Linked DNA regions of Tamandua tetradactyla. The protein of the gene in region 3 purifies or fractionates together with the protein of the main gene of each other region. This does not show direct contact. Links are inferred from orthologs where the notes say so. Each region holds a gene or a part of one and is shown on either strand. Other genes may lie near its edges.

Region 1 (10,601 bases), on a different chromosome or scaffold from region 3:
AAGGATAAATATCAAATGCAAGGTGATTACATTTGAGGAAGAAAGAAAGAAAATATGGAGGGAAAGAAATGGAATTGGGGTAGGCTTCACTGGAGGTTTCCACCGTATTTTTTTTTATTATTTTTTTATTTTATTTTTTTTTTTTTCAAAGAGGGAGGAAGGGAAGGAAAGACAGAGAGAAGGAAGGAAGGATGGAAGGAAGGAAGGGAGGAAGAAAGGGAAACATCTTTAAACATTTTCTTGTTTTATTGTATTTTGTTTGTTTGTTTGTTTTTTACATGGGCTGGGGCCGGGAATCGAACCGAGGTCCTCCGGCATAGCAGGCAAGCACTTTGCCCGCTGAGCCACCGCGGCCCGCCCCGTATTTTTTTTTAAGATCTGAATCAAATTTAATTGTCAAATGTAATCATAAAATGTTAATGGGTGGTGGGTACAAAGACATTTGTGGTATTAGTCATATGTTTAAACAAGCCAAAACAAAGTGAAAAAATGGGAAGCTTATGCAAGAGCCTTTGGCACTCTAGTTCCTTTTCCCTATTCCCAGCAGTCAAATGATTACCCCCTTTACTACCCTAACCCACTGTGCTGGTTTGAAAGGAAGTATGCCCCCTAAGAAAAGCCATGTTTTAATATAAATCCCATTTCTTAAAGGTAGAATAATCCCTATTCAATACTGTATATTTGAAACTGTAATGAGATCATTTCCCTGGTTGATGTGATTTAGTTAAGAATGGTTGTTAAACTGGATTAGGGATGACATGTCTCCACCCATTTGAGTGGGTCTTGATTAGTTTCTGAAGTCCTATAAAAGAGGAAACATTTTGGAGAATGAGAGATTCAGGAGAGATTCAGAGAGAGCAGAACGATGAAGTCATGAGATGCAGAGAGTCCATGAGCCAGCAACCTTTGGAGATGAAGAAGGAAAACGCCTCCTGGGGAGCTTCACGAAATAGGAAGCCAGGAGAGAAAGCTAGCAGATGACGCCGTGTTCGCCATGTGCCCTTCCAGCCGAGAGAGAAGCCCTGACTGTGTTTGCCAGGTGCCGTTTCACTTGAGAGAGAGGCCCTGAACTTCATCGGCCTTCTTGAACCAAGGTATCTTTCCCTGGATGCCTTAAGTTGGACATTTCTATAGACTTGTTTTGATTGGGACATTTTCTCGGCCTTAGAACTGTAAACTAGCAACTCATTAAATCACCCCTTTTAAAAGCCATTCCATTTCTGGTATATTGCATTCCGGCAGCTAGCAAACTAGAACACCCACCTTACCCCCAGCCCCCCTTCTCCATCTCCACCACCAGGGACTGATTTTCTATAGACTTTAGCCTAGTAGAAGGCAGAGGGGCGGCACAGGGTTAATGATAGGATTAAGTGGAGGTCAGCTGGGGACCCAAGCCTTCCCAGCTCCCTGCACACTCTGGGAACACCCACAGCCAAGTTCATAATCCCCAAACACACCTGAGAAATTATTCTCTGGAGAAAAGAGAATACTAAGATTTTGCAGGCCCAGCAAAATCTGGCACATCATCTGGTGCACCTTCCATGGTGAAGCTCATTAGTCCAGTGCTCTTCATAATCTAATATACATTCGAATCACCTAGTGATTTTATTAAAATACAGGTTCTAATTCAGAATGTTTTCATGGGGCCTAAAATTACATGTTTCCAATAAACTCCCAGATGATGCCAATGCTGCTGGTCCCTGGACCACACTGCTGAGTAGCAAGGAATTAGTCAACCAACCTTGCCCATAAGCTCAGAGCTGCAGTCAGGTTTTTAGGGTTTCATCCTTAAATATGAACAGACTGCTAAAGATAACCAGATATTTGAAGCTAGCTATTAACAATAAAGAGAGAGCCCAAACAAATTAGTATTAAAAGGGACTCAAAGAAATGGAGGCAGAGCAGAGTGCAGAAGAAAAACTAAACAAAACATGCAATAATATTCTCAGATATTATAAGACAATCCTGTCCATAAAAGAAGGCTCAAATAATGAGGGCAGGGGGTGGGGAGGAGACAGTCAGAGAACAAAAGATCTTGGAAATTAAAAATAAGAAAACTGAAATTTAAAATAGTTGAATATAATAACAAGGAAATAACCCAGAAAAATAGACCAACAAAACAAACCAAAAAGAAGAAAGAGAAAATCAAAGGATCTATCCACAAAGTCTGACATCCAAATAATATACATTCTAGAAAGAGAACAAAGAAAATAGGAAATTATCAAGGGAATAATTAAAGAAAATATCCCCCAGAACTGAAGTACATAAGTTCCATATTGAATGTGTGCTCAAAACAAAAGAATTAAGAGTCATAGCAAGGCACATCATTGTCAAATTTCCAATCAATAAGCTAAAGAGAAAATTCTAATGCTTCCAGAGACCAGGGAGACATAAAATACAAAGGATCAAGAATATGAAAAGTCATCAAACTTCTAAATTACAACAAATAAATAAATAACAACCCTGGAAGGCAGAAGAAAATGGAATAATACCTTCAGAATTACGAGGAAAATTACTTTCAAAATGAATTCAATATCCAACCCAACTACAAATCAACTGTTAGGTAGAAATAAAACAGTTTCAAATATACAAAGATTCCAATGACATAACCCCCATGTCCTCTTCTTAGGAAGCTACTAGATGAGGTGCTTCAGCAAAACAAGGGAGTAAATCAAGAACAAGGAAGACAGGACCTGGGAAACTGGCAAAACCAACCCAGAACAGCAATGAAGGAAAATCCCAGAATGACAATTGTGCAGCAAGCCTAGAGAGCAATCAATCCAAATAGAAACAAAAGCAAAGAAGGCTCTGGGACAAACAGTCTAGAGAAAAGTGGAACTTATGTATTTGAGTATATAGAAATACTATTGCTAGATTTTTTGAGTCTTAGAGCATTGTGGGGAAATGGGGGAGGCCAAGTATAAACATATAGGAAATCAAATGAGTGCGGGTAAAAAGGCAATAATTAACCCTAGGGAAAATGAAGAACTGCATAAGCTAAAAGGTATGTTTGTGCTACCGGACAAAGGCAGTGGATTCTTTGGCTCATTCAATGATCAATTCATGAGACACCAGGGTTTCAAAGAGAGAAAAGCTTATCACCAGGCACGTAGCAGGAGATCAGTTGCCCTATCGGCCCAAAATCTGTCTCCCTGAACTGCAGTAATTCTGATAGCTGTATAGATAAAAACAGACAGGCAGGGTTTAGGATAATGAGCACAGTGGTCCCAGATGATGTAATTAGAGGGATCTAATTATTGAGCACGCACAGATTGATTACATGCAATTACAGATTGATTACATGATCATATGTAAGAAAATGATGATCTTAATATGATGATGGGCATGATTTTTAGTATTATAATGAGGTCTAAGTGACTTGTAGTTTAAAGTCTGTTACTGCACGTTGTCAGGCAGGCCCATTTTGGTTAGATCCAGTCTCCGTAACCAAGATAACTTTGGAGTTGGGACGGGTCAGTTCTGGACTGACACAAGCCCTTTCATTAATAAATATTAGGGGCTGTCTTTGGCTATTATAAGACTCTGAAGTTGAAAAACTGGATAAATGGGTACAAATGAAGGTGAGTCACAAGGCTGAGGTTTCTGTTTGTTTTTTAGTCACAAGGTTTTTACAATCACAGGGGCAGAAGATAAAGGCTATACAATCATTATCAAGAGATCAAGGAAGCTGGATTACAATTTAGAGATTTCAGGTGTTTCCCTCTGACTGCTCCAAGATAACAGAAAGCAAAAAAAAGAATATATAACAATTCAGTAATCAAAATCATTCCATAAACCCTAATTTCTCAGTTACAGTTACAGTGCATTTCTTGGCTCATCAGTGATAAATATTTGCATACTAATAAATATTGATTATTGTTTAACCAAAAATTGTTACACAGTTATGTAGGGCTGGGATAGGGGAAGCGAAAGTAGTAGAGCCAAGTTACCTATTTGGTCAAAAGTCAACAGATAATGCTTAAAATTAACAAACCAAGAAATAGTGGTATAAACATTTATTCAGAAACGGAAAGGTAAATAGAATAAATATCTAAAAACCCTGAGGGTATTGCCTCTGAAGAGTGGGCCAGGAAATTGCTTTTATCATTGCAAGCCTTTTTAGTACTAAATGTATATGCTTTTAAACTGTGTATATGCATTATTTTAATACAATAAACATTAATGTTAAAACATTAGCATATAACATTTAATTTGGGGAGCTATGCAATTTCTGAAGTTTATCCACCGCAGTAAATAAAAAAACCGGTTCTAAATGGCTGTCTTTTTGATATGGGCTAGCTTTTTGGTTTTTGGATCCCTTCTCCCTACAGAGCACTTGGAAAATAAATTATTGCATGTAGTAGCACTCAATTAAGTTTATTAACTTCTTGGAGGAGGGAAAATACAAATCAAGTCACATGGGCAGAAAGTACAGCACAAAGATGAGTTCAGATCCCGCACACGAATGAGTATGAAACTGCTCGAGTATGAAACTGCTGGAGCAGAGATATAATAAGGTAAGGGGTTTCAAAGCCAGAGAAAACTACCCGGAGGAAGCTCCCGCAGGCACAGAAATGGAGGCAGGACAGGAATCTGGGGAGGCACATCTAACTCGCCTATTCACCAGGGTGACTTCCTGCTCCTTTCCTTCGTTGCCCTTTTAACAATTTATAATTATATATTTGAGTGGTTTTTGGCCAGTTTCTTTTACCAGACCCTGAGCTCCACAAGGGAAGGACCCCATCTATTTCGTTCACCACTGTATCTTCAGCACACAGCCAGAACCTTCTAAGTATCTGTGGGAGACAGGAATGCACTACGATGCCGCTGGGCAGTCTTTAACGTGGAATGAGGAAGGGACACAGAGAACGAACAAACCGGGAGAAAAGAAGCCGGATGGGAGATATCAGGAGCGATTTACTTTTGGGGTCTCTGAAAGGACAGGACCGGAAGGGGAGGCTGGACCTCTGGAACAAGCGGAACGGAGAATCTGAACACTGACGCAGGACCTGGGGAATGACAGGTAGGGGACAATCTTGAATCAACTGTGAACCGGCTTTGTAGGAAAACAGAGGCAGGGCGGCGGTAAGACGCCTGCGCACGCGCCGCCTCAGGCCACCTACCCCTCCCACCCCACCCCCGGCGTGCCTGCGTGCCTGCGTGCGCGTGCACGAGGAAGATCCGAGCGGAAATGGCGCCGCGGGGCCGCGCGTTCGGGCGGTGAGCGGAAGTGGGTGTGAGAGCGGAAGTGGCCGGCTAGAGCCGGGGGCTGGGCGGGGATCGGGCTTGTCGGTGAGGCGGCGGCGGCGGCTCGGCAGGCGGGTTCAGGCTTCGGGGGCCAGGTCTGTCGGGTGGGTGGTTGTCTCCACAGTGAGTGCGTGCGCGGGTTAGCGCGCGTGTCTTCCCCTTCCCCTTCCCCTGGTCCCTGTCCCCTTCTCCCGTACATCCTACCGCACCCAGCCCCTCTCCTCAGGGGGCAGCAGGGCCGCTCCCTCCGTCCTTTCCTCCCTTACCCACCCTTACCCGCCCTCGTTTCTCCTTCCCCTGCCCGGGGTAGCCGCCGCCATGATCCTGCTGGAGGTGAACAACCGCATCATCGAGGAGACGCTTGCGCTCAAGTTCGAGAACGCCGCCGCCGGGTGAGCGCATGGCTGGGGCCCTGGGGGTGGTGGAGGAGCAGAACCGACCCCTCGCCAGTCTCTGGTGTCGTCCAGCCTCCCCCAGACCTGAAGGAGAAGGATGGTGGTCTGGCAGGGTGGGGGGCCGCCCGGTAGACGTGGGAAGAGATTGGGCGCGGTGGGGTGAGGGGCAGAGATGCGTGGGGCGAAGCTCGGAGGAGGGATGCGGAAGCTGTGAGTGGTCAGGAGTGCGCCTGCCAAAGGGCAGAAGTCCTTTGGGGCGTGAGGGCAGTTGGGGTCGGAACTCTTCTTGGAGGATCCATTTGCCCTCTGAAGCAAGGAGGGGGTACCACCTCCCTCCGTCGTGCTGGTCATTGTTTTCTACGTCCGAAGAGAACCCTTTTGGTTTTGGAATTGGGTTGAAAGGAGTTTTCAGGGATTCCCAGAACTGGAGAAGAGAAGATGCATGCCCACATCACCGCCACCATTCTTGCTCCCTACCCCCACCGCCTCCTCCAAAGGTGTAGGAGAGAAGGTTGAAAGCATTTGCTTGCTTCACACCCATTCTCTCTCCCTAGTCAGATCCAGTCTTGCAACCGGAAAAACGCGATCTGTCTAGTTTCCCTTCCCCGACCCTATTGTGAGAAGAAACTGGCCATCTTGTTGCATATTTCTCAAGCAAAGCTAATAGCCCTTCAATCCACACCCCTTCTTTATCTGTCTTTGAAGTTCTCGTAGTCTTTATCAGGTTGTTTGTCTTATAAATTCTTATACAAGACCCTTGGTTTGTGATTTCTTCTGCGGTAATCCTGGCCCAGTCTAAAAAGTTCTTAGCCTTCTTTACTGTTGGCCTTTTTAAATATGGGCATAGAACGTATTTCCAAGACAGTCTTAGTCAAATACAAGAACCAATAGAAAAGAACCCCTCCTCCAAAGCTGCTTTGGTTTTCTAATATAAGCTTAGAAAAGTGGCCTGTGGCTAGTACTTTGCCTCATTTCCCCATTTGTGAAGCTGGGGTTTCACATTTTGGTTTTATAGTTGAGAAAATAATTGCAAACTGAGTCTGATGAACTGGGAACTAGAAATAGGAAAGTAAGTGCTTGGAGATCTACAAATGAAAGAGTATTGGCAGAGGGGAAATTCTAAGTAGTCATAGTGAACTTGTGGTTTCAAGGTAGTAAAAAAAATTAAAAGGGTACTTTTAACAGACTACTTAAATTGAAAATATAGTTTATTCTTTCTCCTTTGTAAGACACCAGATTTTATCTGTAAAACAAAGCATGACTTTCCTTGAAGTAACACATGCAGTGAGCATTACCATTTGATGCCAACGCCTGCAGTTGCTTATATTTTAGGTTAACTTCTTGTCTTTAGCCTCTTACCAATTCCTTTGCGTTTTAAATACTCAAGTGAATCAGCCCGAGGTTTTATTTTGGGCAATTGCTGTGTACTTTTTTGAGCACTGTAGCACATAGGAGGAAGTTGAGTTAACTTCTGCATTTTCTCAACCGATTTTAATGCATTTTCAAGTCTAGACTAGCAAAGAATGAAACTTGGCGGCTGCAAGATAAATGTCTGTGTATTTTCAAGTAGAGGCATGCCTTGTAATGTAGGAGTATGTTCACATCTACTTGGGTATTATTAACTTGTGATTACAGAATGTGACCCACTATTTGGACCTTCAACTTTCTTTTTCTTTTAGAAAATTGCTCTTAAAACTAGCAGCTAACCTCTTCAGAGGAAATAAAGCAGGCCCTTAAATCAAGAAATCATAAATTAGAACTTCCAGGACAATTGTTAGAAAGATACACATTGTAGGAAAGTTGGATGTGGGGGGTGGGCTAGTTTTGACTTTTATTCTGGTCCATCTTCTTTTTGAGATGTGACTTTAAATAAGTAGACTCAAAATCTATTCTGCTGAAAAACAGTTGAAAAGTGACCATGATACTAGGCCCAGTAGGTAGGGCTTTTCTGGGATTGCAAATATAACAACCAGCAGAAGCCTGCTTCCAAGTCAAGTTTGAGTTTCCAGGCACACCAGTAAGATGAGGTAGCAGGAAAGAAGTTAGATATTTTATTACAGCACATGCCTATGCCAGAACTTCCAGCAAAGGATGACTGGTGTGATGATCATAAACATGTATGGGATTCCGCCAATGTTCAGCACCAAGACAAGAGCAGAGAAAAGAGGGCTTTTTAAGAGACCTATTGGCAAGGTTATAGAGAAGCTGTTAACGTAGGGTTGGGTGGGAGATCAGAGAAATATTAAAGAGAAGCAGTGGCTTGGATTTGAAAGGCTTTGCCAGTATGCAAGCCTGCAAGGAGAGGTCAGCTCCAACCTGCTTTTACACTTCTCAGAGCAAACCAAATGAAGAAATGAGGGTTCAAAGCAACCTTTTCCAGAATGAATCTTCCAGCTCTGCGCTGTCCAGCACAATAGCCACTAGCTGCATGTGGCTATTTATGTTTATGTAAAACTTAATTAAAATTTAATTAAACTAAAAATTGAGTTCCTCAGTCATGCTAGCCACATTTCTGAAACTTGTGACTATTGAATCGGTCAATGCAGATGGTGAATATTTTCCTTATTGCGTAAAGTTCAGTTGAACAGTACTATTCCATCTACTGAAAATGTAAGCATGAGTTAGTCTTTAAAATAGTTCTGTGGTGTATATGTATATATACATGTAGAGTACAGTTGCTTTAATTTTCCTTTGGGGGTTGATATTTTTTAACGAAGACTCTCAGAACATCCTACTGGATCTTCTTGCCTTATGGTATCCTACTAAAAGTCTCAGTTTTCTTCTGGGTAAAGCAGGTCTGTCATCTAACCTGTTTAAGTGGATACATTTGGTCCTGATTAGCTTTTAATTTGGTAGCAGTTCACACAAAGGCTAAGATTCATTGCAAACAGATCGTATTTTATTTTTTTCCCACCACATACCTGGAAAAGTTGTTTATTGAAACAGTCCTTACACCCTCACAAAATGATAGTTATTGGTAAATTGTCTTTCTGACAACCTTCAAACTAAGAGGTTGCAACTGATTAAAAAACTGTACCCAACACTGCACGTAACCACATATTCAGGTCTTATCAACATCAGCGCCTTTTCATTTAGGAATTCTTACCCAGATCTCCAATTAAACCAGAAGTAATATGGCAGATTAATTTCTCTTGTTACATTATACGCGCCAAGAACCTTTTCAGCCTCAGAAGCTAGGCTTGGCTACTTAGCTAGAGTCTGGAGTCCACAATTGAGGAAATGCTGTCAGATGAGAATTGCTGTTGATTTTAAGTACATGGTGGCTCCTTGCCACAGCCTGTGCATATTGTGGGGAGCTTTGGTTCTCTGAGGGGGAGTGAAGCTCAGTAAGCAAGCAGTGCCAGTTGGGGTGGGCGAGGATGTGGGAGGAATTTGAGAAAGGAATAAATTAAATCTTGCTGCTACCTTGTTCTCATTCCCAAATATGCTGCATCTGTCCTCAGAGAGACAGACTGGTTTGAAATGATTTGGAATTAGGACATTGTTTAAGCTTTTAGAAGAAATGGGATGTAGTGGCTGGCTTGCTAAGGCGATCTGGATGGTCTTTTTACAGGTTGTTAACACACTGCTGCTTGTCTTCCAGCCTCCTTGGGACCAGTTTGGGGATGAAGCCCCAGAGCTACATTTCACCAAACTGACAGCTCCTTATGGAGTTTTGTTTTCCCAGTATCCTCAATTTATGTATGGGCAGTAAATGTTTCTGAAAGGAATGATCGAAGCCAGTGTCATGATTCCTGCTTTCTTTAAGAGATTATCACTTCTCTGACATTGTGTGAATCAGCTTTTAGTTCTTTTGTTCTCCATATTGTGATATATGACTTGGCAGAGATAGTAAGACTACCTCTTATCTAATGTCCATTTTTTGTACGCTTTGCTCAGGTAGAACGATGAAAGCTTTATATAGGATTTAAAGGAAAGTGATCAGAAACCTTTATAGTGAGAAGAATTCAGTAATACCTCTAATTCAACTCATGGAAGGGATAACGGAAGAGGGATAAATGCCCAAGTAAGGAGTTGGATCCTAGGATGCATTCAGGAGTAAAAAACGCCAAGATCCTTAGTGAAAAAAAAAGGCCTAGGTCATGCATTTGTCAAGAGTCCTTTATTGACTGACCAGTTCATTCCAGAAACTCGTTAAAAAGGAGGAGAAGAAAATTTTTTCTAGAAGATTTTAAGAATTCCTCTTGAAACCCATTTGAATGAATTGAATATCTTTTAGTGTTTTGGGCTATCCATTCAGTAACCCTGAGGATTTATCCAGCTGGCTTGTTCTAGGATTCTAGAGATTACAACAGTCTGACATTACTAAAGAGTTATCTATTTCTCCTTGTACTGCTAATCAATTCCTGGTTCTGGGAGTTACCATTATCCCAAAACCTCTCTCAACTACAACTTCAAAATCTGATTAGGAGAAAAAAACTAATTATTGATCACCTTCTGTGAACCAAGCATTATGCTATATACTTTAACATGGTTTCATTTAATTTCACAATGTTCCTGTGTAACAGTTCCCGTTTACAGTTGAGAAAACTAGGGCTTTGGTGGAGGGAGTAAACATTTAATGAGTAACTACTTTGTATGAAGCACTGTGCCGGCCACTCTTCACTTGTGATTCTTGCGGCCACTCTTCACTTGTGATTCTTGACCTTGTTTATGATACAACACACACAGAATGTGAAAATATTTGTATGGTACATTCTGACAAATGGCTAAGCCTAGAGACCCTGCCACTTAGCTGCTCTCAGGGCTCATCACAGCACATCTGTAATGAATTCAAGAAACACTGGTTGGCAAACTACTATACATATCTCACTTACTCTGCACAACCTTGTGAGGTAGGTATTTTTATCCCCAAGTGTAGTAGAGGAAACTGACTTTTGTTGACATTTGAGTAACATTGCCTGTGGTTATATACCCAGTAAGTGACAAAATTTGAGT
Region 2 (10,348 bases), on a different chromosome or scaffold from region 3:
TTCCAGTTCAATTAAATCATGTTTCTCCTGGGGGAAACTCTCCTTCTCTTGGTACAAAGAACTGTAGACTAGCAGAGTTTAAAGTTGCAGGGACAGGAAGCAAAAAAATTTTCTAGTGGCTCACCAGGTGTAAGTGGTGCCACTCCCATTTCCACCCCTTGATTCCTGGACCCATGAATCCTGATTATAGGAGAAACAGCATCAGAGAGTGGACGCTGATTTAGAGCATACACAGCCTCCTGGAGAATACTGCCCCAGCCCTGCAAGGTATTACCACCTAGTTGTGCCATAATTGAGTCTTCAAAAGGCCATTCTAGTTCAGTGACAGTGGTTCCCACAGTAATAAAAGACAACTACAGAGCTCTTCAGAGAGATGGAGTTAGTCTCACAAATTAATTCCTCACAGTCCTGGTAAAAGGTGTGTCCTCTGGACATTCCTAGGGTGGGTGAGCAGATCTTCCACGATAAATCCACTCTAACATTCCAATCTCTCTAAGCGTTTGGGTTTCCTTATGTACCTTGTACCAGGGCAGTTCTGGCAATTTGATCGAAAGTAATGTCAGCCACCTTTTGATCCAAGTTTCAGCCAACCACCCAAACAAACTGTTAAAGCCCTTTCTTATCCCTTGAGCTACAACACTGAATCCAGAATCTCTGCTTAGTGGGCCCACATCAATAAATTCAGCCTGATCCAACTTTATATTCCTTCTACCATCATGCCACATCCTTAATATCCATTCCCACAAATATTCCCTGATTTCTGTCTATATAAATTGGAAAACTCACGCAGTTCTTTTGGAGTAGAGTATATCTCCTCATGGGTCACACTTTGTACATCACTTTTGGGGGCTTATTGGGACTTTAATCTAGTTATAGGTCTTGAAGGAAAGAGGGGTAGACGGGGGTGGGTCAAGAAAGGAATTAGAAGTGTCTTTCAAGCCAATTACCTCAGAGTATTCTTTTGCAGTTTCAACTGGTGAAACAAGGATTAATCACTCCAGACAGAGGACTGAGGGCTGTTTCCTTAAGAGTGGTAGTTATGGATTTATCAGGAACTGTATGGTTTATATCTCTCCAGGTGGGGGCTGGATGGCAGATTCCTCAGAGCAGACTGGAAGCTGTTTCCTCAAGGCAGGCTGGCGGTCCAGTGGCTGTCCCCTCAAGGCAGACCACTACAGGTTTTTCTAGCAAAGACTCATCAGAATCTAGGGTTTCAACGTCTCCACTGCCATCATTATCAACCCATATGTCCCCATTCCAATTTTCAGGATCCCATTGATTTCCAATTAATGCCTTTAATTAAACAGCAGACACCCTGCAAAACTGGGAATTTAGTTTACACTAACTCTGCCACTCCCGCAGTGAGATTCTAGGCCTGGTTTTCAGAACTCTCAAATCTGCAGCTACAGGAAATAAGATTTTCTTTCAGGACACACATAGATACTTGCATATCTTTCCTGCAGTGCATGAGTTGCAAATTTGAAAACTTCAGTTCATCACTTTCATTTGTAATTGTATCCAATGTATTTAGGAACAAACAGTCAACATCACGATACCTTTTAACTCCACAAAACTCTGTTAAGGTGTCAAAGACACTTTCATCCAGAGCCTTGCCTCTTCTAAGCACATGCGTAGCCGTATTCAGTGGTGATATTTTGTGTATCTCTATTGTTAATTCATGTCATGGATGGTCAGTGCTTTACTGATTACCGGAAATATAGTCATGAGTGCCTGTGAATCTAAACAGAGTAAAGAACCAATTACAAAGACCCAGAACCAATTTTAAAAGCCCATTTTTTAAATTCTGCTTCTCAATGACTGCCCCACTTCTGGTATCAAAGCTGTATTAATTAAGGGTTCTCTAGGGAACCAGAACCAACAGAGATATCTATAAATATGCAATTTTATATAAGTGTCTTACACAGGCGTGGGGATGCATGGGTCCAAATTCCATAGGGCAGGCTATAAGCTGGTAACCCCAATGAAGGTTTTCGATGAATTCCCCAGGAGAAGCCAGCTGGCTAAAGTGCAGATGAAAATTCTCTCTGCTGACTACTGAAGTTAGCACTTCTCCTTTTAAAGCTTCAACCGGTTGGATAAAATATTTCTCACTGCTGAAGAAATTCTTAGTTGATTGTAAATGTAGTTAGCCATAAATGCAATCAAGTTACTAATGTTTTAAGTCCACAAAATGTCCTCTCTGTAACAAGCCAGTGTTTTCTTGAACAGACAACTGGGTATCATAACCTGGCCAAGGTGACATATAAACCTAAACATTACAAGCCTTAAAACCATGAGCTAATATATTGTATGGTATTTGTAAGAGCAGCTTTGACAAACTAAGACACCAAGCCTCCACAGATTAAAGATGATCATACAATAAGCAGCTGCCTGTTAGAGCAAATATCAACACTCCTTAGAGGAAGATAACAGAATTCAGAGCCTCAACAATGGATCATTCACAATATCCAATATACACAATAACAAATTATTAGACTTACAAAGAAGCATGGTAAAAAAAAAGCAACCAATAAAAAAAGACTCTCTGAGATAACTCAGACAAACGTCATTTAAAGATAAGAACAGTCTTATGAAACTTAATCCCACAAAGGATAGGTCAAGCCTACTCAAAATTAGGCCTAAGAGTCACCCCCAAGAGAACCTCTTTTGTTGCTTAGATGTGGCTTCTCTCTCTATCCAACACAACAAACTCACTGCTCTCCCCCTGTCTACATGGGACATGACTCCCAGAAGTGTGGACCTTCCTGGCAACACAGGACAGAAATCGTAGAATGAGCTGAGACTCAGCATCAAGGGATTGAGAAAATCTTCTCGACCAAAAGGGAGAAGAGCGAAATGAGACAAATAAAGTGTCAATGGCTGAGAGATTCCAAACAGAGTCAAGAGGTTATTCTGGAGGTTATTCTTAAGCATTAAGTAGCTATCACCTTGTTATTCAAGATGTAGTGGAGAGGCTGGAGGGAACTGCCTGAAAACATGGAGTTATGTTGCAGTTGCCATGTTTCTTAAAGATGATTGTATAATGATATAGCTTTCACAATGTGACTGTGTGATTGTGAATACCTTGTGTATGATGCTTCTTTTATCTACCTTATCAACAGACAAGTAAAACATATGGAATAAAAATAAATAATAGGGGGAACAAATGTTAAAATAAACAGATTGAAATGTTAGTGATCAATGAAAGGGAGGGGTAAGGGGTACGGTATGTATAATTTTTTTCTGTTGTCTTTTTGTTTTTCTGATTTGATACAAATGTTCTAAGAAATGATCATGAGGATGAATATGCAATTATGTGATGATATTGTGAATTACTGATTATATACATAGAACAGAATGATTACATGTCAAGAACGTTTTTTTCTTTCTTGTCATATTTTTTTAAAAATTTAAAAATTAATTTAAAAAAATTTTTAAAAAAAGATAAAAACAGTAAAGTAGCTATTATAAATCTGTAAAGGACTTAAAGGAAAACATGGTCATAACTAGGACCTTCCAAGTCTGAGGTACTGTGAATTTTCTTATATTTAAAATTGTTCATGAAGTGGTCTTACGCTAGTCTAAGTTTCCTAAAGACAGTGGGATTTTAGTCAACTCTTCTGTACAGTCCATGAAGTGTTTAACACAATACTTGGCATTATTTATTATTTAATGAGTGAATACTCATTAACTATTTGATGAATCTTAACCAAATTCCAATTCAATCCAACACCGAAAAAACCAATAGGGCAAACAAAATTATCACATAGCAGTGTCTAATGCCTCTCTTTCTCCCACCTCTTACTGCCTTTCTTGCTACTAATTTTTTAAAAGGCAGAGGCTTCCTTTTGGATAATAAATCAGTGTTATTAAAAACTGTACAAATCTAAAAAACATTAAAAATAACTCATACTCCTAGGAACTCCAATGGTTTCTCTACCAGGGCATAATGGGGTTCAATAGGTGTCAGGAGGCCAGTCCACTTTCTCAGTTAAAGAATAAAGTGGTTAAATCTATAAAGGCCCTTTTAAAGCTACCATCTACAAAAATGCATCAAGTGGTAACTGTTCAGGCAGTAACCTCTGTTGAGGCTACAATGCAAAATGGTGATTTAAAAGATAGAACCAAAGATTAATATTAAATGTGTCTGTCATTTTTCTAGGCCTAACATTTCTTGTTATTATCATAAAGAGTCTGTTTTTGTTCATTTGTATGTTATTCTTCTCTCCTAGATTATAAACTCCTAAAAAGAAGAAATTGTCCTTTGTAAGAAGGTGGAATCTAGTTAGAACATTGTTGATACTTGACTGTGGGTACCAACTCAACATAATCGTGGACCAGTTTAGGTAACTTGCAGGCACATGATGAATGAATCCGTGTTTCCCATGAATGCCATCTTTCCTTTGCTAATATGGTGATCGCCTCTCGAAGGGGTGATTAATCTTAAAATCTTTCTACTCTGTCCTCGATTCCCCTATGACCAAAGACTTTGTAGCCATAGGACAACGTAAAACCAATGACTTCCAGTTCATTAGTGGTACATGAACAGCCGGACTAACTAACCCAACGAACCTAATAGTGTGGTTCTGAAATAGGGAGCTCAACAAATTTCCTTTTTGTAAACATCACCTCACCATCAAGCGTGGGGTCAAACATGAAAACCACCAGTGAGAAGGCAATAAGCACTTAGCAACCTTTAGCGGCACAGAGGACAGGAGTGCTGCTCCAGAACTTTCAGGGCTTCAAGGGCGGCATCTTTTTGCACCAGGATTATTTCTCAGAAGCTGCAGCTGCACGGCAAGCACAGTCTTCCCACGTTTTGGGGAGGAGGTTGGTGGTGCTTAGTTCCTCAGACTTCTCTTTCCTTTGGTATCATCTTGGACTTCCAATCACAAACAGCAAGTGATTCTGACCAAGGAAGGGCTGAGTTTTTAAAGCTCCGGGCAGAGGGCCTCAGAGGCTTTCCAAGAGGGAACAAGGCGGAGGCGGCGACCCCTGGCCCAGCGAGGCCAGAGGGACCTGGAGCACACAAGCGCCGCAGGGAGCCGAGCACAGGTCCACTGGCCTTGACTGGAGTTGGGGTGGGGTGGGGGGGCGGTCTCCGAAAGAAGAAAAACGTATTCGTTCGTCAGGCACACATGGTTCGAAAAACTCCAATTCTCAGTTAATTCCTGTGTTCGACAAAAGCACTTGGGAAGCCCCCAAGGTTCCACATCTCGGCTTGCGAGTCTGAGAAAATCTTCCGCGAGGAGTAAAAGCGCCCAGCTGTCTCGCTGCCACCTCCAGGCGGTGCTGTGGCGCCGCTCCTCGGCAGCCGCCTACCCCAACGCCGGAACGCTCAACCGAGCTGTGCGCGTGCGCAGACCGCCCGTTTGGCCGCGGTGCGCAGGCGCTGTGGCCGTTTCCGGGATCTGTCAGCCGCTCCCTCCCGGCCTCGGTCTCCGCCCGCGCGCGCCGGAGCCTGTTCGCGTCGACTGACCAGAGTCCGCGAATTTTCCGCTCCGCGGCCGTCCAGACTACCCCGACCTCAGGTAAAGGGCAGGGGGGCGAGCTTCTGGCGCTGTTGGCCACCTCTGCTCGGTCTGTCCACGGGGATTTAGCCCAGGGGGCGGCGAGGCGGGGACTTGGGCCGCTGGGCCCGGAGGCTGAGGGGCGGGTTGGGTCCCCGTTCCCGGGCCTGCTGAGGGGGCCACGGGGGTTCCCCACTTTTCCGTGGGGTCCTCACAAGAACAGATCGCTTCTCTCAAGAATTTCGAGCGCCAAGCCTCTTCCAGTGAAAGAATTAACAGCTCTTTAACCTGCGCGCCCAGGGCCCTGTTCACACCTCGATTGTGAGCATATATCACAGTCTGTATAAAACTGATAATAAGTGGGATGATCTTCCCCTAATCGAGTGCCATGTCTTTCTCCAAAGTCTAGAATAGGTTCTTACACACAGTGGAGCCCATGGAATGAATGTTTGACTCCTCTCTAGGGCAGACCTCATTCTTCAGTTTTGGGGGAATCCCCGAACTCGAGAAAAATCTTCCCTTTGAGTTCCTTAAAATTCCCCGTCTCCCTCAAATCACAAGTGCACCCGCCTCTGAGATCTTTTATAAGATAACATCTTTCACGTTTCTACCCTATAGTCGATCTCCAATCCTGGCATCGTCGCTGTTTAGGGGGTGACCCTGGGAAGAGGGCTTCTTTGCGTCTCTGTTAGTTCATCTGCAATAGGACAGTCATTACGGTAACCTACAGTCATTACGATAACCGTTTCTTAGGGTTTTTCTGAGGAGCTTATGAGTTTATTTGCATGAATTGCCAAAATAGTTTGCCGCCCAGGGTAGGTGCTCAGTAAATGTAGTAGTATTGCTGCTTCTTTGTGTTGTGTACATGTCCATCTTCCCTTCCTCTCTTGCCTGTCCTCTCTCCCCAGACATAAGAACCAGAAAGGTGTCAGTTTTAATTATGTTTCTGGCCCCATCCCTCTACATATTGCATTGCTGGGGACCTGTAAAGCACTTAATCAATCGTAGCTTAGAATTTTTTATTACAAAGCCATCCGTTCTCACACTGTGGCTTTGGAACGTGACGGACATGCTTAACTTACTTCTACCTCTACTTATTGCCTGAATTACCTAAGTTATCTTCCTTCTGCCCTCCTTTATTAATTTTATCCACCTTTTAGTTTCAGATGAGCCCTAAGTCTTCCCGGTTATCTTAAAAAAAAAAAAAAAAAAAAGGAGAGGATATCAGTCAAGAGGGTATTTTTGACCTTTTAGGAAGTGGGTGTAATTGTTCTGTGGCCTCCTACCACAAAGTTTTTTGAGACCCTCTGAGATTAATCATCTACTAGTCACAATTGAAGGAAGGGATCATCTTGAAAATTTTAAACTCCTGCTTTGGAGGGAGAGTGTCAGTATTTTCATCTTGGTCTAGCTATTTAATCCTATGCTGAAATAAGTTCTGTATCAAGAAGTTTCAGGTGGTCTGCTGGGGAGGCCAATGTCTGGAATTGGAGCCATAAAGGCTGGGAGGGTGTGGTAACCTGGTTGCAGTACCTGGTATTGCTGGATTGGGCAATTAAAGCAGGATGAATCAGTCTTGAAATCTGACCCCAAACAGGTCAACCGAAATTCCCAGTTGTATGAATACATTGAAGCTGCAGAGGAGCAAGGTCAAGAATTTAAAGCATACATAAACTTTTCCAATTCAGCTAACTGGCACATTCTTCTAAGGATGGTTCACAAGCTCTTAGGGTCAAAATGAAAAAAGAGCTAATTTACTGAGCATGTAATTTGGGCTAAGCTCAAAATAGTTGCTTTCGCATGTTATTTCTTTTACTCCTCCTACCAACAGCCTTGTTGTCAGCGATATCTCCATTTTACAGATTAAAACAATTAGATTTAGAGCTATTGAGTAAATTGCCCAGGGTCTCACATCTATTAGGTGTCAAAGCTAGGATTCTAACCCAGCTCCCCTTGGCTTCAGAGCTCATGGGTAACTGTACAATCAGAATGCCTCTGTACTCAAAGTGATGAGTAAAGAAAGGGGATGGGGGAGAATCCTGGAATCATGCTGTGCTGTATATTGTTTTTAATTCTCTCAGTGCTGGACAATGCAAGATAGTCAGTAAAAAACTTGTTATATTTAATGGCACTACTTTTTTGTCTACCCTTTTTTCTCCTCTCTAACCCCATTAAGACATAGGTTTTCAGATTTCACTTAAATATTAATCGCAGTTTAGAAGTTATAATTATCATTTTACTACAGATGGCTTCGTTTTCTTGGTACAAAATTCAGGCTGTTATTAAAAATGCATTTCTCTGCATTCACTGAATTTGGTGGCATACAAGCTGTTTTTACTAAGTTATAAATTTGACAAATATGAATATTGTCTGGCTGACAGACTTAAAATAGCCACATGATTGTAAAAGAAGGGCAGGTCTGAGTATATGTCCAAATATAGAACTTGAATGATATAACAAAATTAGAAATGCAATTTTAGAAGTAACTATGCCATTTAGAAGTAATGTTTGCCTTTTTGGAAGCCTTTGCTACATTGCTTATTAAGCTGAGTTGAAAAATGGAAAAGCTCTTCTTTTTTAACTGCATGAAACATGTTTTTATTGCATGTAGCTATTCATATTAAATTATTAATTCACAGACCAATTTGGTTTCACTTAACAAATGAGCCTATAAAATGTGGCTTTTGAACTAAATTGGTTTTAATTAAGGAGATATTTGTGACACAACATGTAATCTTGAATATCTATGAGTAAAACCTGTTGTGGTAAGCATCTGATATCAGAGATAAAGAATCATGCAGTGAGTAACTGGAAGTTCATTTTTTAAAACAATAAAAGTGGTCTCGTTTGAAATTCATTTGTTTATTTTAACTTTCTGTTAGGTCTTTTTCTTTATGAGTTACAATTTGCTTTCTAGAACAAAAAAAAAGAAAAAAAATTTAATGACCTAAACATAGAGTATATAGAATGTGAAATACTGGCATCTCTCTGCTAGTTCAAGATATCAGACGGCCTATTTCAGGCTACACTTACCTCTTATCTTTGGGTTCTTTTGCAATTGTCAGAGGAAGTTCGGCTTTCCACCTGGATTGAATTCTGCGTTGTCAACTGAGCTTTCATTGTTCCTGGCACAATTTTCTGGTGACCCTTCCATTCATTTCCTGTTTGCATCAGAATTCCTATCTCCAGTTTCGTTCTCCACCCTAGGTTAACAGGACTTGTCCTTGAGTGTATCCAAACTTCAGATTGTAGTGAGAGTGGCTCTCAGAAATGATGTTAGTGTGGGAGTGGGGGGGTCTTTTTTCTAAAACCTGAAAATCTTTCCCCTATTTCAGGTAATTGTTGCTTCTTTTCATTTAGTTACAATAAAAAATTTAAAAATCAGTATAACAGACACCTGTATACTCTGTGCCTAGATTCATCTATTGTAAACATTTTGCCAAATTTGTTCTCTGTATTTGTACTTTTTGTTCTGAACTATTGAAAAAAGCTACAGAAGATATTGTAAGTTACCCCTAAATACTTCATCATCTTTATCTCCTAAAAACTAGGATAATTCTTCTATTTAACTGCACTACCATTATTATACTTAAGGAAATTAAAAGAATTACATATTGTCATGTAATGTTTAGTTCAAATTCAAATTTTTCCTATTGTGTAAAAAATGTTGTTTATGGTTATTTTGTAAAATATAGATTATAATCAAGTTCATGCATCGAATTTGGCTTCCATGGCCCTCTTAATCTAGAACAGTTTACCCTTTTTCCCCCTTATATTGCTTTTTTAAAAATAATTCAGGCCAATTGTTTTTTACAGTGGCCCACATCCTAGCTTCATCTGTTTATTTCCTCTTTGTATTGTTCAGTTCATTCTTCACCCCTTTATTTCCTGTAAACTGCAGATTAGCTGAGGGTCTTGATTAGATTCAGAGTAATATGTTTGATATGAATACTTCATAGGTAAGTTGACAGTATACCCAGGTTTCTCACAGTTGTCATGCCTTACATCTGTTGTCCCAGCATAATTATTAAATAATGTCCCTTTTTGCTCTCAAAAATAATCTAGCCTGGATGATGAATTAGATGGCCACTATTTTTAAGTGATGTGTACATCATGTTTTCTCCCATTAGGGGCCCATCGTGCTAGATTGTTCTACTATTTCTGTTACAAAATTTGATCACTTTGTTGAGGTGGTGACTGCCAGATTTCTTCCATTGTATAGGCATGTTTTCACCTTTGTGCTTAGTATGAATCTGTGGATGATACTTTGAGACTGTGTGAATATACAGTACCCCAGTAATCTTTAACCAATGGCTTTAGAGTCCAACCATAACCCTTGCTGGAATAGAGTATACATTGATGGTTACAGTGCTAGTTCTATTTAAATGATTAAGTTTTGACATTGAGATTGATTCTTTTTTTAATGGGAGAATAGTGTTTTATTTATCCATAAACATTTCAAGACCCTCAAACTTATAAAAATTAGTTAACCTGTCATTTTTAAGGATTTTTTTCTTTTGCTCATTTCAGCTTTCTACCCTTTGAAAACACTGAGAATAATGTCTCTGCATCAGTTTTTACTAGAGCCAATCACTTGTCATGCATGGAACAGGGATCGTACCCGTAAGTGCTCACAATTTTGTCTCTCTCTACTTTTTGGCACCTTTGATAAATTTCAGAGTTCACTTTTAGGAATAACATATTTCATTGACACAGCCAAAAGAACATAAATTGATACTGATACAGAAGGGAACTAAGTCAGTCCTTCAGTTTACATGTAAATAAACTGACGGCTAGAGTAATGGAAGCACTTTCCAGTTATTACCCACTAAGTTATT
Region 3 (10,559 bases):
TTTTGTCCAGTGACTGCACAGCCTGCTCAATTTCACTGCTCTTAAAATTTGTGAGCACTTTGAGCACCACACTCTGGGCACGTTCCTAGAGAAGAGAAAGGGAGTGAGAAACAGAGCAACAGCCCAGGCAGATCTACAACCCCCACCCCCCAAAGCAAGCACAGGAACACTAAACTAAATGGTCAGAACTCAAAGAAACAGTGCCCAACTTCTAATTTGAAATCTTTTATTGATTTAAATTTCAAAGTATCCCTTATTTATGCTGATAAATTATTTCACTTACTTGGGGGTAAAAAGTAGTTTGCTGGGGAGAGGCATCACTGTTTTTTGATGATACCAGCAAGGCCTTAGACTCCACAGGATCACAGTAGTGGGGGGCTTTTTTTTTTTATTAGGTTTACTTGGCTAGAGCTGCCATCCGTGTTCACACTCAATTACAGAAAGGATATTCCCCCCACCTCTAAGGAGGTGTAACCACTGGTTACATCAAGATGCTGTCACAAAATCCCAGCTGGAGGGAGATCTCTTTCCCTGGACCAAATTTTAGACAGCTTCAATGATACAGTAAGTACAACTTAACTTCTTGCCTAATTTTTAAAAGCCAGAAAAAATTTAAAAGCACTTAAAATCCTTATGTATATAAAGCCTAGCCATAGCCTATAAAAGCATAACCACTGAGAAATCCCACATGGCAAGCTAATTTATCTGTTTTGCTAATCAGCAAGTACTGGATTTACTTCTCACCCCATGAAGCCCTGGAAGGAGTTTCTTTGGGAAGCTTTTACTTTAAGCACTAATAGCTCTGATGTCGGAGGAGCCTTAACTTCTGGTCAGTGCCAGGAGTCTTCCATGGAAGTAGTGCCCAGTGCTAACTCACTCCCTTGGCACATACTCACTGATGCAGAGATGAAACAGACACTGTCCGGAGCCCCAGGGAGCTCCAGCTGGGGAGATGGGCAACCAGAGCCCTGGTCCCAAAACCCAGCAGAGCCGCAGCATGACCACCTTTACCTTCACAGCTTGATTCTTGGTGTTGACAGGGGAATTCCGCAAAGCTGCATGAAACGCCCGAAGCATGTCCCCTGTGCATCACCACCAGTTAAGGATGGTTAGGCTCAAGCAATGTTCATGTTTTCATTAATGAACTCATTTCAAAAGCACCCCAAGAGAACAGAATCAAATGGGATCTTCTGATTATCCACTTCCACCCACCTTCCACTGCCTTGGCTTCCAGCTGGGCACAGCCTACTTAGGGCAGGCTATAGCTTCTCTGAGCCACAAGGAGAGTGGAGGGCACCTGTGCCAAGCCTAGAAATCGCTCTTTCTGCCTTCTCCTAAACCTTCCCACTCAAAGCACATTTTGACACTCATTCACTGCAAAGCATTAGCAAAGCATGCTCATTTTTATGCTAAAAATGGAAAGAAAAAAAAGGCACAAAGAAGAGTCTCCTAACTCTTAATCCAATGCTTTTTTGTTAGATTATTAAGTAAATTAAGATATACTAAAACTTTCATTCTCATCTTCTAATACCAACCCAGGTATATGAGGACACAAACTGCTACCAGCAAAGGCTTTATTGATCTTAAGAACTTCTCACCAACAAAATGGGCCAATTCTCCCTCAAACCTTAGCTGCAATCCTGCCACTACTCTGCTGAATTCTGAATAGCCAGCACTCAGGAGAAAATTACAATCTGGGTTAGGTCCTTAAAGGTGACACCTATTTTAAACTGAATTACATCAGCCGACTTTCATTTCCTCATCTGATGCACTGGCTTCAGCCAAAAAGCTTCAAAAATAGAACAAGGAATGGCTTCTGCCCCGTCGGGTCTCTACTCCTGTTCATGCAGTGATGCCCATGTGCAAAATGACAAAGCCTCAGTTTTCTCTAGTGTGGGCTCCATCTTGACTGAGCTGGGATTATGCCACCAGGAGAGCCTCCCCCAATCCCCTGCTCCCAGTGTGGCTCTGACCCAACTTCCATGCTGGAGCAGCAGCTAGCCCCCTTTATCTTTCAGCTTTGGAATTCCTTCTCCCTAGCCTAACAAGGGCCAACCTAAAATCAGCCACTATAACTATCTCACAACCTTTTCTAATTTGGGGTCCCCAAAACAATAAGCAGGGCTCCAGAGGCTTCGCAGGTAAATTGTAGGCTGAATACTCTCCCTAGGGGAGAAGGGAGTAGTGCAAAATCACTCAAAACCACTACTCTAGACAGATCTCTGGCTCAAGAAGACAGGAACCTGTTTCAATAAGGAGAAAAAGGAATTAATACTTTAAAACTCCTAAAAGATCTCAGATCCGATGCCAGGGCTTCACATGTCAACTACTGCTAACAAGGATCATTATTTCCACTTTAAAGTCAACGAAGCTGATGCTCAGAGAAAGGGAAATGATCTGCTGGAGGTCACAAAGCTTAGCTATTCAGCTGGCCTACAAACCCATGCTTGCATGACTCGAAAGCTAAGTTCTTTCCAACCCCATGCTACCACAACAGTGACACACTCAACTATGTCTGGGATGGACACTTGCTGTGTGCGAAGCACTGTGCTGGACCCTTCTGGGTGTTGTTCCATGACAGGCCCACAGATTCCAAGAGGCCAGCATGTTCACCTCCATTTAACTGAGGGGGGTGCTCAGGTTCAGAAAGGGCATGTGACCCACCCAAGGCCATACAGAGCATGACAGGACTGGATCTATGTGGATGCAAAGTCCATGCTCTTTGTACTTCATCTGTGTGATTTCCCATCATGGCATGCTTCCCAATATAGCAGCCTTAGGACAAGACCCCTTGTCACCTTCCCCTACCCCAAACAGTCCTTCTGCTTACTTCATTCTGCTCTGTCCTAAGACTCCTAGAAACCTGTTCTACAGTTTAAATTAAATGACCTAATATAAGTCCAATACCTGGGCACATGGTAGGGGTTCAATAAATACTCGTTCTTTCTTTCTTCTTCCCTGGGTTCCCCACTTGCGTGGATTTCAGTTTTCATCTACTAACCTCACTTTCCCCTAATCCCCAGAGGTACATGCTCCAGTAACAAGGTTTCTGACATTGTCATTACTGAAGAAACTACCATACCCAGATGTGCTAAAGCCTAAGCCTCCAAGCATCTTCTAGGGACTTATCACCAATCATGGACATAGAAAGAGATGTTCCTGCAGCAACAAGACCAATGTAGCAGTTAACTAGGCCTTGGTCTCCCCATCTGTGGAATCAGGGTACTGAGCCACAGGCCCTACAGCCAATCATCACTGCCTGCCCAAAAGCTAGGTCCTCCACCAGGCTACAGAATTAACCTTCCCTCCTGGGGACTCTTCCTATGACCCCATTTTGCTAGTGGGGTAAGCAAGGTGATCTTGTTGAAACAGCAATTACAAACTTGAATTCCCATCTCTAAAACCACATTCCTGTTCAAACAAGGTTTTCGTTTTAAAGGCACACTGGAGAAACCTGGTGGGGCTCCTCCCAAAGACAGTCTATGAGTGCAAGCTGAGTCAACTGATAAAACACGAAGACCCTGATTTATATACTGCCTGAGTCTCCAACCTTGCCAGGCAAGTGCAGGGGGAAGGGAGGGCACTTCCTGTAAAACAATTTGAATAAAGAAAAATACTTCCTGTGAGAATAAGTCAGTTTCCTGTGCTCAAACTGCTAAGGTACCAAGTAGGCTGTAACAACCACCTCTATTTTTAATCTTGTTTTCCAAATGCATGTTTCCCGTGGCCACAAGAATAGTCATTTCCAGTCAAGTAGCTCTACTTTTACATTTTACTTTACCCCCTCTGGTTTTTCTTAGCTCTAAGATACTCGTTTTTTCTGCTGCGTCCCGCACAACATACACAAAAAGGCTATTGAGGAAGCCAAACTTCCTTATTGAGCATAGATGAGACCATCAGAGTTCAAAGCCCAAGGTGTTCAAGAGAACTGACAATAGGTGAGAATGAGTAGCATTAGGCTGGAGGTTCAGATTGATCCTGGGGTGTGAAGTGCACACACTCAGACCTCAGGGCTCGACTAAGGCCTTCATTACTTCATGAGTCCTTTTTTCCCCCGCAGCCAACCACCCACCTTTTCTCACGCTGTGCTGCAATCGGATCCAAGAAAGCCAGGAGAGGGCTATGCCCGGGACCGCCCTGGCCACTCGATTACTCAGGAGTGGCTCACCTCAGCCCCTCCCGCCGACTAAGCCCGTGAATGGCCCCGTTTCCTGCGAGAAGATGGAGTGATCAGGCGCTCAAAGAAGGGACAACCTGGGGATGGGGGATGGGGAAAGGAGACAAGGGGGAGAAATGAGAAGAGGCCGGGTTAAGGAGTGAGGGACGTCCGAGGTGGGCATGCTACAGGGGCCGTCGAGTGAGCCAGCCCGTTCACCAAGGAGTAGGGCCCGAGAAGGGCTGCGCTGCAGTACAGGGAGGCGCCGGGGCCTGGGATAAGGGGTGGAGAGGAGAACCGGTCTGAGGAAAGCTGTGCCGGGGATGAGAAAACTGGGGAAAAGGAGCTTCAGTGGAGTCGTATCGGAAAAGAGTTGGACACTTCGGTCAGAGGGGACCGAAGCTAAGAGAGTGGGGAGGCTCGGCCTGAAGGGTTGGAGCCCGGGATGAGGCAAACAGGATGGCCGAGCCAATTAGCCCAACCGAGAGGAGCGTGAAGGCCAGGCCGCCGCACCGGGGAAGGATATTGCCGCAGGAGCCCGTCCACTTCGCTTGGGTCCGGGCCTGGCTCGGCCGCCGCCGCCGCCGCCTCCTCTTGCTCGTCCACGAATTTGTTCTCGTCAAACTCGTCTATATCCACTCGGCGGAAGCGCGAGGACAGCGTGTTCCGGGCCATGGCGGGGGGCTCGGCGCCCGCCCAACCACCTCGACTCTGGCGGGGACCTCCACTCAGCTATGCTCGGTCTCCGACTCCCGCTCCGGCTCCGGCTCCGACTCGGGGGGCGGGAAGCGGCCGCTGGGACCGCCCCCACCACCTCCGCGCGCAGCCTCCACCCGCCCATTTCCGCCTTACGCCGGAACCGGAAGCACCTATGGCTGGGCGGGATGAAAGCTGGTGGGATTCCGGTTTCCCCCGGTCGGAAAAATCGGGCACTCGCCTAGGTGGTTTCTTTGACGCCATACTTTGATCTTCATAGAACCTGTCTGCCCATCGCGGGAGTGGACTCACCTTCCCATTGCAGGCCTGGTATCTTGTATGCCTTAATTGTGTGCGTTCTCCGGCTTCCTCCTGGCCTTGGGGGGTGCCGGCACCGACACAGCCGCAGATATCCCGGGTGAACTCTACCCGAACCGAAGGGACACGAGGCCCACAGGGGATGGCGCCCGTCCTGCCTGTCGAATGCTTGTTCGGCTTCTAAGAAAAGAAATCTTCCACCCGAGCCCTGACGAATGAATAGGACTTTTCATACTCCGGGGGGGAGGGGGAAAGGGGGAGTCTAAGGGTTTTGACCCCACCACGTTGAGCACAGAGACGACAGCTTCTGCCTTGTAGGCCTTATGCACAAATGATCCCGTTATTAAATGAGTGGGAAGGTTTTTGGTTTTTTTTTTGCATAGGTAGGCACCAGGAGTGGAACCCGGGTCTCCGGTATGGCAGGCGATTGCTCTGCCTACTGAGCCACCGTGGCCCGCCCAAATCAATGGGAAGACTTAAAGACCGTGTATCCAGGGGACTGACAAGACGCTGAAGATATTTCGCCCTGGGGGTGCGGCGACCATGCATGTGTGACGGTCAGGAGAGGACGATGACCCTAAGGCCACCATCCTGACAGGAAGAGTAAGGGCCAAAGGGTTAAAGGAGTGGGGCTTAGAGAGACATTTCTTTATGGGTAATAAAATGCGCAGAATCTGTGATGGGGGAAATCGAGGGGTCAGGACAGAGTCTAGGAGTGCCCCAAAGTACCAAGATTAAGTGCTTGGGCTTTCGCTTGAGGGATTTCGTTAAACCGTCTTAGACTTAGGCTGAATTGGGTCTTTTTTTTCATATAACAGTATTCTTTTTAATAAAGGCCAGTAAATGAAATGTGAATCTTTATTATTGCTTTGGATATTTCTCACTGAACTGAACAACAAATCAAAAAAGTATTGCCAGACTATGATGCTGTCTAATCTTGGATACTAAAGATAGACTGCCCCCTCCCCCCCCCCCCCCGTGGGAAATAGGTGCTGAATAAAAGTTATCAGGAGTCCTGGGAAAACAGACCGAAAAAAAAACAGTGGCATTTCATTTCAGCTCTATAGGTGGGAAGAAATCGTTTGTGATCCCAGGGAGGCCAAGAGAGGAAAAATTCATACTCCAAGGAACAGCCTGGTCAGACAGGATTTTAAATCAGGACTGCCCACTTTACATGGAAAATAGTGCCCAAATAAACTGGTGAACAAAACAATGTCCTTTCTCCAGATTGTGAACTTCCATGCTAGTCACAAATTAAAAATCCACTTATACTCTAATGGATGACTAAGTACTAAAGGAAAAAAAAATCACACTGTGCTCAGTAGTTTAACTTAGAAAAGGTGGTCAAAGCTGTTCCTGAGGAGGTGACACTGAACCTGAGGGAGGAGCCAAGCAAAGGCTTAGAAGCAAGGCAAGCTTGGTGTATTCCAAAAACAGCAAGGATGTATGCTGGAGTATGCTGGAGCAAAAGAGTGAGATAGGATGGAGGGGACAGATGATAAAGGGCTTTGCAGGCCAAGGAAAGGAAGTAGTCAGCCCTGTAAGTGCTGAGCAGAGTTATGATCTGGCTTGAGTTTGAAAAGGGTCTCTAACAGTTGTGTTTAAAACACATCAGGGCTCCCTAAGCCCAAATCTGCAAATGAACTCTTAATGCACCCACCCACCCACCACATGGGATGGGACTTTCAGGGGTGTAAGTCTCCCTGGCAACATGGGATATAACTCCTCAGTGTAGGACATGGCCCTGGCATTGTGAGATTGACAATGCCTTTTTGACCAAAACGGGGAAAAGAAATGTAACAAAATAAGGTTACAGTGGCTAAGAGATTTCAAATAGAGTGCAGGCTATTCTGGGGGTTACTGTAATGCAAGGTTCAGCTAGAGGCTGCAAATTGCCAAGGTATGCAAGGCCCAACCAACAGTATTCCTGAAAACCCTAGAGAATACCCAGGGATCCATCTGAGACTCTGATCGTTTCACACACTAAGTTTATTTTTCAGAAACCTAAAACTTTCAGATTGTTCCCATGCCAGAGAAGTCCTAAAACCCAGAAGTACCAGTCTCTCCAAGAACGTTAATCAGTTGCATCCCCCATTCCATAATATCAACACCCCTTCTCAACATGAAGAAGTTCGAATGGTCATGGCCCAAATATCCCTAAAGTTTGGGAGAAGGATCAAATGAAAGAGAAGAGTTGTAAAAGAGAAGATAGGATTTAACAAATGAGTATGACTACCTAGTCATTATACTAAAATTTCTTTTTAGTCTCCAGTGTATTAGAGCAGCTAGAAGGAAATACCTGAAATTATGGAACTGTAACCCATACCATACTTTGAAGTGTGTCTATAAGTATTTGTTAAAATGTATCTTGAAAGCTAGAAGGAAATACCTGAAATTGTGGAACTGTAACCCATACTATACTTTGAAGTTTGTTCTATAACTATTTGTTAAAAGGTATCTTGAAATCTCTTTCTTTAATGCATATATGGTATATTTCACAATGAAAAAATGCTTTAAAAAATAAAATAAAACACATATGGGAGAGATGGCCAAAGTAGGGAGGCAATTTAGGAGGTTACCACAGTGTCCACATAACAGGCATGGTAGATCAGGTTAGAACAGGCCTATGAGGGTGGTGGGAAGGGGGTGAGATGTATTCTGAAGGTAGTGCCAGCAGAATTTGCTGATGGTTTGAATGTGGTTTTAGAGAAACAGGAATCACAGATGACCTCAAACCTAGAAAAGGTATACACAGCCAATAGCCGTAGTGGAGTATGAGCGTTTGGAAAGTATGACAGCAAAGCCCCTGTGCACCATTAGACTTTGATTTAAGATTAATCCATGCCAAGATTGTCCTGTCTGACCTCTCTTCCCTATTTCCTTCCACTTTCTGGAAGCTTGCCTAGGTGCTGTGGTCTGAGGTAAGGCTCATTCATTCATTCTATCCAACATTATCCAAGTACTGTGCCTAAAGACTAAAAATGCCAAATAGGTGTTAATCATGGTTCTTCCACCAGGGAACTTCCAGGTTGAATGTGGAGACAGGCACATAAACACATCATCTCAGTATAAGCTAAAGGGAGTATGAGCAGAGGAGGTTGCTATCCAGACCAGAAAAGGGAAGGCTCCTTGGAGGAGCCTGATAGCAACAGGGAGGCCTCAACCAAACCTCTGAAAGATCTGTGTCTTTGTTAGAGCACCGGAGCGACAGTGGAGCACTGACTGATGCTTACTGGGTGGGGTAGCAATGGAACTTCCCAGGCAGGAGGCCTGAGGTTCTTCCCTATTTTGTAAATACTTTATAAGTTCCAGGGCCCAAATCAAGTTGTCCGTTGGCCTGGAAACATTAATACTAATGATATACATACATATGTATACGAATCCCCCATTACGCACACAATACCGATATTCTGAGCGATCATTATGCATCAGGCCCTTGTGTTTAAGAACTTTGCACGTATCATCTCTAATCCTCATAAACAACCCATTTCACAGGTGAGAAAACTGAGACTCCAAGAGAGAGGAAGGGACATGCATAGGGTCGCTGCCAGTATCTGGCAACAAGAGCAAGTATTTCAAACTTGGTTGTTTTGTTTCTTTTTTTTTAACCATGAATGTTCTTTCACCGCCGCATGCAGCCTCCATTAGAACGTTTATGCAGTTGGAATACATTGTAGCTGTCTGACCCGCCCCTGCCCTCCCACCTCGCGGTCCAAAGCAGGGGAGGAATGAGGAAGCCATCTTTGAAAACCCTCACCCCTCATCCTTCTGCAGCCCCAAACCGCCGGCGCCTCGCTCACAGCAGCACGGACCCAACGACCTGAAAAAGTTTACCGAATGACTGAATAGACAAATTCGAGTCGGTGCTATGCCATTTCCAGTAAACCACCCCGCACCCTAAACTTCCGTTTTCCCAACTGCGCGGCTCAAGGAATAAGGCCGACTTCTTTGGCCTCTCAAGCCTGATCGGAGGAAAATGGGGAACGGAACGGAAGGAGAGGAAGGGGCGGGACCGGGGCTCCCCCCACGCGACATCATTGGCCGCGCCGCTGCCACCCGGCAGTAGTTGTAGAGGTCGCCCACGCCCCTCCCTCTTTCTCTCCCGGCGAGCGGCAGCGGCGGCGGCGGCGGCGGCGGCGTCTGCAGCGATGGTGAGGGCTTGGCCATCGGGCGCCATCCGCACGTCCTGAGGCTCCGGGGCTGAAGTGGCGGGTGGGGGCTGAGCCCCGGGATCCCCTCTGCTGGCTGGGCCTGTGGGGCGCCGCGCGGAGCTGCCCAGTATCGCCACCAGCCGGCCTCCCGTTTTCTCCCCCTGCGGGACGGAATCCGAGAGAGAAGCACACGCGCGCTCACCTGGGCTTCAGCCTTCTCGTCAGCCGAATGGGGGTAGCGGCTCGGCCTTGTATCAGGCTTGGCGGCACGGGGACGCCGAGTTTCGACAGGCCCCCGGCGCGCTCTGGCGGAGTCGCGCGCCCTCTTGGGACTGTTCCCGCTGTGGTGGAAGGGAAGGAATGGCTCGTAGGTAAGACTTCCCCGCGGGACATCTGACCCCACACGTCCGTTTCTCGTGCGTAGGCCAAGATCAAGGCTCGGGATCTTCGCGGCAAGAAGAAGGAGGAGCTGCTGAAACAGTTGGACGACCTGAAGGTGGAGCTGTCCCAGCTGCGCGTCGCCAAGGTGACAGGCGGCGCGGCGTCCAAGCTCTCCAAGATGTAAGTTATCTCGCGAACGGACCTTTGCCCTCTGGGGATGGGGACCCCATGTGCTTCGGGACGGACCATTTGTGGGTTTTCGAAGTTGTTCTGGAAAGGTGTCCAGTAAGTGGATCTGTGGGCCTGAATGCCATGCCCTGTCGAGCGGGCCTTGCCAAGCGACTTTGCTCACCCAGCGGCGTGAGCCTTCCAGCTTAGCTGTATGTGCTTTTCGGTTTACTTGCCCTTGACAGTGCCGCTCCTTTTGCCTGAAGTACACTTGTTCAGCTTCTCTGACTGGATAAAGAGCTGGGTATTCCTCTGAAGACTCTTGAAGACTGCCTCCAAAAGCCTAATGGGGCTCTTTGTTTTCACCTCTCACCAGCTTTTGATTTTCCCCCTACTTTGTTGACTGAATGTCTTGGACCTCTTTAGTTGTATGGTAGCTTTTGATTTGCATAGATAAGAATCATAGACGGAGGGATTTGGTCTGTCTCTGGTTCTACCTGCCACATCCCACCTGATGCCTGTTGGGTGAACTCTTAAGAGTCTTTTTTCTCTTTTTAAAAAATGCCTCTTCCCTGAATGTGAGAATGATAGGAGGAGGAGGGCTGGGGGCACAAATGAAATCAGAAGGAAAGATAGACAATAAAGACTGAGATGGTATAATCTAGGAATGCCTAGAGTGTATAATAGTA

What was found.
Region 1: the proteins of ARPC5L (region 3) and ARPC2 fractionate together in Homo sapiens (co-fractionation; 7 studies listed by BioGRID and IntAct, with this or other methods). This does not show direct contact. The link is inferred for Tamandua tetradactyla from reciprocal best matches to the Homo sapiens genes ARPC5L and ARPC2.
Region 2: the proteins of ARPC5L (region 3) and ARPC1A fractionate together in Homo sapiens (co-fractionation; 7 studies listed by BioGRID and IntAct, with this or other methods). This does not show direct contact. The link is inferred for Tamandua tetradactyla from reciprocal best matches to the Homo sapiens genes ARPC5L and ARPC1A.

What each region holds. Positions count from the first base shown.
Region 1 is NC_135329.1:193,701,700-193,712,300, forward strand, and holds the start of ARPC2 (actin-related protein 2/3 complex subunit 2), read left to right. Parts: upstream 1-4,794; 5' UTR 4,795-5,016; coding exon 5,017-5,023; intron 5,024-5,156; exon of another isoform or gene 5,157-5,557; coding exon 5,558-5,639; exon of another isoform or gene 5,640-5,642; intron 5,643-10,601. UniProt on the Homo sapiens protein: Actin-binding component of the Arp2/3 complex, a multiprotein complex that mediates actin polymerization upon stimulation by nucleation-promoting factor (NPF).
Region 2 is NC_135349.1:7,366,799-7,377,146, forward strand, and holds the start of ARPC1A (actin-related protein 2/3 complex subunit 1A), read left to right. Parts: upstream 1-5,394; 5' UTR 5,395-5,531; intron 5,532-10,040; 5' UTR 10,041-10,069; coding exon 10,070-10,133; intron 10,134-10,348. UniProt on the Homo sapiens protein: Probably functions as a component of the Arp2/3 complex which is involved in regulation of actin polymerization and together with an activating nucleation-promoting factor (NPF) mediates the formation of branched actin networks.
Region 3 is NC_135328.1:46,983,609-46,994,167, reverse strand, and holds the start of ARPC5L (actin-related protein 2/3 complex subunit 5-like protein), read right to left. Parts: upstream 4,986-10,559; 5' UTR 4,832-4,985; coding exon 4,683-4,831; coding exon of another isoform or gene 4,670-4,682; intron 1,085-4,669; coding exon 1,012-1,084; intron 86-1,011; coding exon 1-85. Other genes in the region: RPL35 (large ribosomal subunit protein uL29), read left to right, coding at 9,319-9,321, 9,746-9,882. UniProt on the Homo sapiens protein: May function as component of the Arp2/3 complex which is involved in regulation of actin polymerization and together with an activating nucleation-promoting factor (NPF) mediates the formation of branched actin networks.